Linked DNA regions of Danio rerio. The protein of the gene in region 1 interacts with the protein of each later gene in a pairwise test. Links are inferred from orthologs where the notes say so. Each region holds a gene or a part of one and is shown in the gene's direction. Other genes may lie near its edges.

Region 1 (3,763 bases):
GCATTTAATTTGGTAATCAGCGCGTCTGGTTTTCATAAATCTGTCAAATGACAGAGAAATGATTTTATTGACAGAAATCCCATTGGCCAGTGTATTAATAACCATTTGTGCGTTGTTTGTGATTTGGCATGGGTTTGGATATCTTAATTTTCCTTCCCAGGATCTCATTGTTGCCATGCAAACATTCAATGACCGTCTATTCTTCTTCTTCTTCTTCTTCTTCTTCTTCTTTTTCTTTTTCTTATACTAATAATAATAATAATAATAATAATAATAATAATAGGACAATGAGGTGGCAATAATAATAATAATAATAATATTATTATTATTATTATTATTATTATTATTATTATTATTAGGACAATGAGCTGGTAATAATAATAATAGTAATTATTATTATTATTATTATTATTATCATCATTATTATCCCAATTATTATTATTATTGTATTATCATTGTAGTTCTTGTTGTTACATTATTGTAATTATTAGTTTTGGGTGAAACAACATAGTTATGTTTGATATTTTAATATAACACTCATTTGTGCAATAAGCATATGCATTGTCCGTGTGCGGTGCTAATTTGTTCATTTGCGCAATTACGCGCAGAATATAAAATATTTTGTTCTCCCGCGCGTTTGCGACACTTTATTTACGGTCAGCCACGCATCTCATATGCGAGATTAACGTGTGTTTGTCCACCATCTTTCTCCAGTGTCTACACAGGCTGCGACATCGATCGGTTGACGCCGTCCCCGGGTGACTCTCCGCGCTCTCAGATCATGCCTAGCGCAAGATATGCCATGACTGGTTCTTTCCTGCAGGACCAATTTGTCAGCTCGTATGCCAAGTCCCGCTTTCACCCTGGCGTCGGAGGCGCTCCTGGCACGGACCGCAGCGTCCCACTTAGTAACAGCTTGCTCTCCCCGCAACAAACCGAGGAGACCACGGTGGCCTCCCCGCAGCGATGGTTTGTCACCCCTGCCAACAACCGACTGGACTTTGCCGCCTCGGCATACGATGCTGCTGCGGCTGCTGATTTCGCCGGTAACGCGGCCACCCTTCTGTCGTACGCAGCTGCCGGAGTTAAAGCGCTGCCCCTGCCCGGTGCGGGATGCTCCAACAGACCTCTGGGGTATTACGGCGAGCCACCGGGGTGGGGCACCCGCACACCACCGCAATATTGCAGTAAATCCAGCTCTGTTCTGTCTTGCTGGCCGTCCAACTCCGTAGGGAGCAGAACGACCGCCTCAAGCTACCTGGTCCCGGGACTAGAGGACGGAGACCCCATTGCGCCCGAGAGGTCACCGCTAGGCGGGGCGGATGAGTCCAAACCTAAAGACCTGTCTGAATCCAGCTGGATAGAAACCCCGTCCTCAATTAAGTCGATCGATTCGAGCGATTCTGGGATTTTTGAGCAAGCCAAGCGGAGGAGGATTTCGCCATCTGCCACGCCGGTTTCCGAGACGTCGTCTCCATTAAAATCTGAAATGTTGACGCCGAGGGAATGCGAGAAAAACTGCTCCAAGGACATCGGCTACTACAGCTTTTACCCCCACAGTTAGAAAACTCGGACCGACTAATGCATGGCTCGTGTGTTCAAGGATTCACAAAAGTGACTTATAATCTATTTATGTCCTGCTATTTATTTATTTGTTTATTTATTTGCTCTTATATCCGGTCGCGTCGTTCTAAGGACGCCACGCGTCGAGTTTTAACGGAAAAAAACGGACACTTGATCAAATATGTACGCGGTTTTCGTAACCAAATGACATTTTAAGGTTTTAACTGTCAAACCTATTGTAAGTATGAAAGTACTGTACATAATTGTATTTATCTATTCATTTGTGATTCTTCTCGTTGAATGTTGATGTATAATATAGAAAACCGAATTAGGTTTATGTTAAATGTACTTAGAAAACGTACTTACGTTCGTTAGTTCGAATAGCTACATATATTAAATATTTTGATGTCTGAAAAAATAAGGATACATCTCGTATAGGTTCCAGTTGTGATGACAAAAACGATACGACTGAATTGGAAGTAGCTGCTAATCCGTTGAAAAGCCCGCCAAAAAGAGTTCCTCTGACAGGAAAAATGGCGGACGCATGTCTGTCAGAGGTTGATTTTATGTAAGCTTATATTGATGTTGCTTTTAGAGTCGCGTCGTTTGTTCGTAAATATCATAGTCCGTAGTTTCATTTTGTGAACCTTGTTGAAATGTTTTTAACCACACCAGCGTAAAATCATTTATCCCATTACCTTTTTTGTAGAGATAAAAACATAGACAACCATTCCACGTATTAACAACCCAGGCATTTCATTTGTATTTCATGGGTTGTTTTCTCATGAGGAAAATCGCGAGTTAGGCCTGCTAATGTGTAAAGCTAATGTAATTTGTGGTGTGCTTACTTGCAATAAATATGACAGAATGTGAAACCCCGGGCAAAGTACACAAGCTTCAAGCTAAGCTGATTTCAAAACCAAATATTTGTACCATTTTCTCTACCTGTTCTTGAGGTATATTGAAACGCCAGTCACAATGTGAATTCCGTTGCCTGTTCGATGCATTTTCATAATAAAATGTAGTCATGCAATGCAACAATTAAGATAATCGCCCAGAACAAACTCTTTGGTAGTTCTGTACAATTTATAGATGGATTTTTTACTGCAATTTATAGAAGCCCAAAAGGTAAACAGTAGAGTTAATAACAAAATAACAGACCAGATACATTTAGATAATGAGATTTAAGTGAATATATTTGGGCACATTTTGGTTGTCAAATATAGGCGGTGTGAGCATTACACCTGTGATTTTATATGGTCCATTTCAGGGCAAATTTAATTGGATTTTAAACCCATTCATGACCTGGATTTAAAAAAAACAGACCAATATTTATGTTTTTAAGACCTTTTGAATTAGGGTTTAGATATTGTAGTGACCTGATTCATTAAAACTCTGCTGTAAACACCTTCATAAGCAATTTTGAATGCATCCACAATAAACAGTTAATTTGTTAGTATGGTTGATATTTTAATGTAGTGCAATTACATTGTTTTAGGTTTGACTTGCATCTAGATATTATTACTGCACAATTTAAAACATAACAATATTTTATCAATCATGATAAGAGGTCAATATGATAGACATTTCTGTTTTTTTTTCAGTTATTTAAGCTCGTTTACATCCACATGCAACCTTCATATGTATGTAAATGAGCGGTATGCTATTATTAAACAGGCAGACTGAATCAACTGAGACCATTTACAATTTCTATTTTTTTCACTGTGTCTGAAGGTTAAATAGATTCATAAAAAATCCATTACATCTGTGACTCATAATCTTGGTCTTGGAGTTTTGCACATTATCTGAGGCTTCCTTTACTGAATATTAAATATCATGCTGTCAGAAAAGCCACACATTTTAGTCTTAGGACTGAGATCCTTTGTATTTTGATCTTATTAAATATTCTTACAGTAACTCCAAGACCTGAACTGTCTGATCATACACACTGAGCAGTCATTGAGTAAATTGCATCAAGCTACTCTTGCCTTTTTTATTTGATCTGGCATGCAGAAATAGTCAGTAGTGTGGCAGTCTCATTTTCTCATTTCAGATATTTTTATCTTTATATATATATATATATATATATATATATATATATATATATATATATATATATATATATATATAGTAGTCAACGTTTGTAATGCATCAAAACCTTTCATCAAAGTTGTCCTAAATCTATTGATCAACACCCAAT
Region 2 (2,753 bases), on another chromosome or scaffold:
TACAAAGCTTTTAGATGCTTTCAGGAATGCTTGCTTCTGATTGGTCAATCGCTATCTTTGTTTAATGATAGATTTAATTCATCTTTATTTCTATAGCGATTTTACAATGTAAATTGAACATAGAAGTTCTAGATTGAAACTAAGTCAGTCCAGCTTTCAGAGTTGAGGTTCAGTTTAGTTTAGTTCAGTGTGGTTTAATTTTCACTGCTGAAAGTCCAAACACTAAAGAACAAATCCATTGAAGTCCTAAACCAAGCATGCCGGGGCGACAGTGGCGAGGAACAAACTTCACCAATTGTAAAAAGAGCACGACCATTTTTCCTCTGGTCATAACAGATGTTACAATAGACTGCTGTATTTTAGTACAGTATAGTCATTGCAAATGGTCAAGATCTTCATTATTATTATTATTATTATTATTATTATTATTATTATTATTATTACTACTACTACTTTTACTACTAAGTAGCATTCAAAACTTTAGTGTCAGGTTAAAAAAATGGTTTATTTAAAAATATATTTAGAAAAGACACATTCAAATAATCAAACGTTTCATCATAAATAATGTGTAATGTTATCAAAATATACATTTTGTAAATTTGTAAATTAAAGTACAAACTTAACTCTGTACTTTAACATTATATTAATGCATTTAATCCTTACATTTATATCGTGCTTTATCTGAAGATTCAAGGCGCTTGAAACATTTTTGGGGGAATCTTCTCATCCACCACCAGTGTACAGCATCCACCTGGATGATGCAACGACAGCCATATTGTGCCAGATCCCACATCACACACTAGCTAATCAGTGGATAGGAAATAAAGTGATGAAGCCAATGGTTTGGGCATGGTTAGGTGACCATGATCAAAAGAGGCCAGTGGGCAAATTCTGGAATTTTTAATGACCACAGAGAGTCAGGACCTCGATTTAATGTCTCATCTGAAAGATGGAGCTTACTGAGCAGTATAGAGTTCTCTTCACTATACTGGGGCGTTAGGACCCAATCAGACTGCAAGTTGAGCCCCCCCCTGCTTGTCTCACAAACACCACTTATGGCAGCAACCTAGCCAAACCAAAGGAACATGAAAAAAAAATTATGAAAATTTACTGACATTGCAGAAATGCATGACAAATATTCATAATAATGTATTTTAATTCAAATAAACCTAGTTTTTTAAAAAACATTGACCCAATTTACCCATCTTTTTATCCATGTTCACTCAGGCCTTTTACTAAATTGTATTCTTGGTTATTTCTCTCATTAGGCCTCCCATTCACGTCAAGGAGGAGCCACTGAACATGGAGGACGAGGACTGTCCGATGTCACTGGTGACCACAGCCAATCACAGTCCTGAACTGGATGATGACAGGGAGCTTGAGGAGGGCAACCTATCGGAGGATCTGGAATGACTATTTTGCCCCACCCCTCCGCTGGGGCTCTGCCCCTTTCAGGCCCCGCCCCTTAACTAAACCACAAACGCAGCAAAAAGACTGGACGCAGCAGGCGGGAGTATTTATTTAGCATGCATCTGGAGACTGGCCCCGAAGAAAATCTATAGCGCAGATCTTTAGGGACCACAGATGGACAGACACGAGAGAGGTCTGCTTTTTAAAAACAAACATACAAAAGGAAGAACAACAAAAAGGACAAGATTTCATCCGAATCCGCTTGGCCAAATCACATAACGAACACAAGGCTCACGGAACTGAAGTGAAACGGGAGCGAGTGCGTTCTGTAGAAAGCCAGCGGCCACATATACTGCCAAAAAAACAAAACAAAAAAAAAAGAAGTTTTAAGTTTGTGAATATCCAAGCCACATTAGTCGTCGGTGTTAGATGCAATTGCTGGTTCAATTCAAGTTGTTGCTCTGTTCTTTTTTTGCACATGAAGTAGTATCAGAAATTTAGTGTCACTGCCTGTATGTCGACGAAATTTTAAAAAGGAAAAACCAACAAAAAAAAAAAGCTGTTTTCCGTTGTTGTTGTTGCTGTTAATTTTCCCCCCTCCTCCCTCATCACTGTTGTTTATGTTCCTCCCGCAAGCTTATGTTCATTCCGAGTCATGTTTGCGACACCACCAACTGTAAATGGCATTTCTTAAAGTCACGTCAATAACACAACCGTGGTATCAAGACTGTTGCAGCCGTCCAAAAAAAAAAAAAAAGTACACAAAAAACGTAGGTCTCGCTAGCAGCTCTGCTTCTGCTGAAACCGTGACGTGTGATTCAGTTGCATCTCAGAAAACACAACGCGTTTCTGCATACTCTTCTAGTCTCTTTACCTCCTTGTTCTAAAGCTTTGTCTACCTGCAGAGAGTCACAGGCAACAGCTAGAAACCAAAGCCAACACTATCAACGGCCAATAGCTTAGACAGAAGCCGCCAGACTCTTTGGTCAGTCTTCTGTGACTAGTACAAAGAAGCTTTTCCTTATTTCTTTTTTCACTAACTACCTTCGAATAACCTCTGGGATTATCTCCTTTAGCCCTGTACAAAGATTTGAAATGATTTTGCTGTAATTTGATCGACAGACGGAGTGCTCAATATGGCCTGGTGAATTCGAGCCAGGTAGAGCAAGAGAGCAGCTATAAATGGATCATGACCAAAATATCCATTCGTGGAAGTGCAGAAATTGAGTTTCATTTAGTATTATTTGCGTAAAGCATCTCATCATTGTTTTTTTTTTTTTTTTACTAGTGAAATGTACTGTTCATTGTGACTGTCCGACGTGTCATGTCTTATATCCGTCAAT
Region 3 (3,663 bases), about 18 Mb from region 1:
TCTATAAAGTAGGTGTGTTAAGGTGCATTGTTTGCTATTTTCGAGAAATTGAAATAGGGCGTGTGATTGACCATGTTTAAAGTCCTGCGCAGAGTGTGTTAGGTATGTGCCTATGCAGATTCAAGAGCTTAATATACACAGGATGTACAGCAATACACAAATATCTTTACATATGAAAACAATAAAGTATCAAAATAGATATGTGGGAAGATAAATTTAAATAATCTAGTTCCAAATTAACAATAATCTAGCTAGGGTGTGACAGACCTTAAAACCAATTGCCTTCTCAGCATTGACTGTGCCAGGGTGATGCAAATGCTAGAGGCATGGTCTTAATGACTCTTCCTTTGTCTTTGGGTGATACTTTCAGGCTAAAGAAACACTTTTGTTGATTAACTTGTGTGGTCAGTAGCTGGGCAGGTTTCTCCAATACTTTATTTACATGCTTTGCTTAGCCATCACTACGGTGGCCGGGAAATGCAAAACAACATTATAAAGTGTGAAACACTTTTACATTTTGAAAAACATTTTTACCTGTCATCAAACACAATTACATAGGAAAAACAATTTTACCAAGGACGAAACAAATTTACATTTTAGAAAAAAATTAATAAGTCCGGAAACAAATTTACTTTAGAGTGGGGGAACTTATGTCATCACTTTGTAGGCTAATCGGCTGATAGCATAAAACTGGTTCCCTCAATAAAATCTCCAAAGGATTTTCCCATAGGCAACATTCAATATACTTTTCTGTCATGAAGTACAGCAAAAAGCTGCCCATACAGTCACATTTGCTATACATTTTATGGAGGAGTGTAAATATTGCAGTTATGAAAGTATTAAATGTGTTTAGATGAAGATAAAAACGATGAAAAATCACTTGATCACGTTAAAATAACAGGTAATATGTCTTTATTTTACACATTTATTCTCACGTTTGCATCACTGAGAGCAGGAAAGAGACAGGCTGCACTGGTATGTTCATAATATTGTTTAATTAAAATAAGTGATTAACAAATTAGTCTGTCTCGACAGCCTTTACAAGTGAAGGCATTATCTACACAATATGAATTCCCAATTAGAAAAATACTACAAACTATAAAATACTATTAATGAAAATACTTAAGTAACAGACAAATCCAAATGTCTAACACAAGCGAGCTGCGCTCCAGACCAGCTCAGCTCGATGACGTATATTGTCCCCGACATCGCCTGTAGTCCCATTTAGCAACTTTATAGCAACCATCTTTTTAAAGAAACATAACCAATTTAAAAATTTAAGTGTGATGTAACTGATGTGTTTTATGGTGTAGAGTAAAACGTGAAAGTATCTTGAGTGAGTGTTAGCCACGAACCTTATTTAACAGATATCACATTGAAAAAATTCATTGACTTTGGGACAAGGGAACCGGAATTGCTAAAATGCTAACTCGCTTCCGGGTTTTTGCCAACAAAGTAACGTCATAGTTCCCCCACTCTATAGTAAATATGTTTCGGGATTTGATAAAGTGTTTTGCATCTTGTTAATTTTTTTACAAAAATGTAAATTTGTTTCATCGTTGGTAAAATAGTTTTTTCTATGTAATTGTGTCTGATGACAGGTAAAAATGTTTTTCAAAATATAAATTTGTCTCGAGCTTTGTAAGTGTTTTACACTTTGTAATGTTGATTAGGACTTCCAGGTTCCAGTTATTATTTTTCATTTATTTATTTGCTAGAAATTAGAACTGAATTTTAAAATAGTTTTAATACAAATCTCTGCATTTAAAAAACAAAATTAAATATGTAGACTGATCAATGTCTTCAGTGCAGTGCGTACAGCACCGTTTCCTTGTCCACAAAAGTAAAGAAGTAAAATAAAGGATAAAAGTAAAGTAAAGAGAAAGTAAAGAGGCCAGATGGAGGAGACTCGTTCTTTATCCTCGCTCTACTGATGGTCTGTTTAGCCGTTTCTCGCTAGTGAAGCGTTTAGTTTTAAGTCTGCCATGTAAATAGCAAATGCACCATGGCCCGATATAACTGACTCTTAAAGGAAATAGGAGATGAGACTCGTTGATGATTGGATTAATGCATATTAAGCTCAACACTCCCATAACTCATGAAGAGAATAAGCACAACCCTGTTAGACCATGCTCCGAAGTGCAGAGCATAATTTTCCTTAAAAAAGCAAAAGTGGATTCAGACACACTCTTAATGCTTTTGCTCTATTCACTTTAGACTTTGCACCTAGATCGTTAAAATAGAGCCCACTGAATTTGGAGTCACTCATACCAATGTTCACCAGTGTTGGTGGAAATGTTGGCAGTTACTGAACATTGATTCTGTCACCAGCACCATTTCAGTGAAAGAAAATGCTTTCATAGCATATGGCGTTGTCCATTTATATATATGCATTTGCTGTACAGATGAACCCTCGGCAGTGGGGCCACATCTCAGAGAGTGCCAAAGATCTGGTGCGCCGTATGCTGATGCTGGACCCTGCAGAGAGGATCACAGTCTATGAAGCTCTCAACCACCCCTGGCTGAAGGTATCAACTGCACAGCTATAATGTGTTGATGTGGAATAAGACATATTACTGATGTTGTTTTATGCACTTTAGTTGTTCTTGCTTAATGAGATGAAATGATGTGAAGCTTATGTGTTTTCTATCAGGAGAGAGACCGCTATGCCTACAAGATCCACCTTCCTGAGACCGTCGAACAGCTGAGGAAGTTCAATGCCAGGAGGAAACTAAAAGTGAGATATCAGCACATTACAGTCTCTGAATTTCAGTATATGCTCTGTGGTGTAATATTCAATCACTGACCACATTATTAGGTATACCTGTTCAATTGCTCGCTAGTCAGCATGAAATCTAAATTTTGCTATTTATTGTTTTGTTTTTTTTACATATAATATTGTAGAATATTCATATAAATTACTTCATTATTTTTTAAATATGCTCTCATAGTCATTATTTAGTACCTTTTACTTCCACCCCCCTCGAAACAACAATTCTTCACCTCCTGCCATGTTCTATTGGAATATTGGCCTCTCTCTTGGTTTGCATAAAGATGATCCTTTTTTTTGAAGGTGCTGGAGGTACAGTTAGTAAATATTAATCCTCCAAATCTAGTTGCAAACTAGCATTCAAATTTACCTCTGTTTTGTTAGCAATGCACAACATCCAATGATCAAATAAATTCCAGAAGGACAGAGTCCTACCTGGCCCTACATATATATTTCAGAAGCTGTTTTAACCCGATATATTTAAGGAAAATTTCAACTTCCACTTCATTCTGACTTTAATGCAAATATCTAGTCAACCAGTTTCATGGCAGCGACTAAGGTAAGAAGGGAATGTCTGACTAGCTTGAGCTGATTTAAAGACAACAGTAACTCAACCAACCATTAGTAATACCAAGATATGCAGCATTAAAGTAGATAGAAGACTGTAGCAGAAGGCCGCACTGGTGACTGAGGCATCATTTTAGATTGTAAAAATCTGTTTTAATCTATGATTTGATATTTTGATGGTAGAGTCAGAATTTTAATACAATATGAAAGCATTTATCTATCCTGCCTGGTATCAAAGAGGGGATGGTAGTGGTTTAATGATGTGAGTAACATTTCTCGACACTCCATTAATAACAATTAATCATCATTTGAACACCATACAGCTG

Evidence for each region.
Region 2: the proteins of tbr1b (region 1) and foxp2 interact in a two-hybrid assay, tested with the Homo sapiens proteins (2 studies listed by BioGRID and IntAct, with this or other methods). The link is inferred for Danio rerio from reciprocal best matches to the Homo sapiens genes TBR1 and FOXP2.
Region 3: the proteins of tbr1b (region 1) and caska interact in a two-hybrid assay, tested with the Homo sapiens proteins (2 studies listed by BioGRID and IntAct). The link is inferred for Danio rerio from reciprocal best matches to the Homo sapiens genes TBR1 and CASK.

What each region holds. Positions count from the first base shown.
Region 1 is NC_133184.1:53,420,531-53,424,293, reverse strand, and holds the end of tbr1b (T-box brain protein 1b), read left to right. Parts: intron 1-714; coding exon 715-1,564; 3' UTR 1,565-3,250; downstream 3,251-3,763. UniProt on the Homo sapiens protein: Transcriptional repressor involved in multiple aspects of cortical development, including neuronal migration, laminar and areal identity, and axonal projection.
Region 2 is NC_133179.1:6,895,488-6,898,240, reverse strand, and holds part of foxp2 (forkhead box protein P2), read left to right. Parts: intron 1-1,268; coding exon 1,269-1,413; 3' UTR 1,414-2,753. UniProt on the Homo sapiens protein: Transcriptional repressor that may play a role in the specification and differentiation of lung epithelium. May also play a role in developing neural, gastrointestinal and cardiovascular tissues.
Region 3 is NC_133184.1:35,100,374-35,104,036, reverse strand, and holds part of caska (peripheral plasma membrane protein CASK), read left to right. Parts: intron 1-2,405; coding exon 2,406-2,528; intron 2,529-2,653; coding exon 2,654-2,737; intron 2,738-3,663. UniProt on the Homo sapiens protein: Multidomain scaffolding Mg(2+)-independent protein kinase that catalyzes the phosphotransfer from ATP to proteins such as NRXN1, and plays a role in synaptic transmembrane protein anchoring and ion channel trafficking.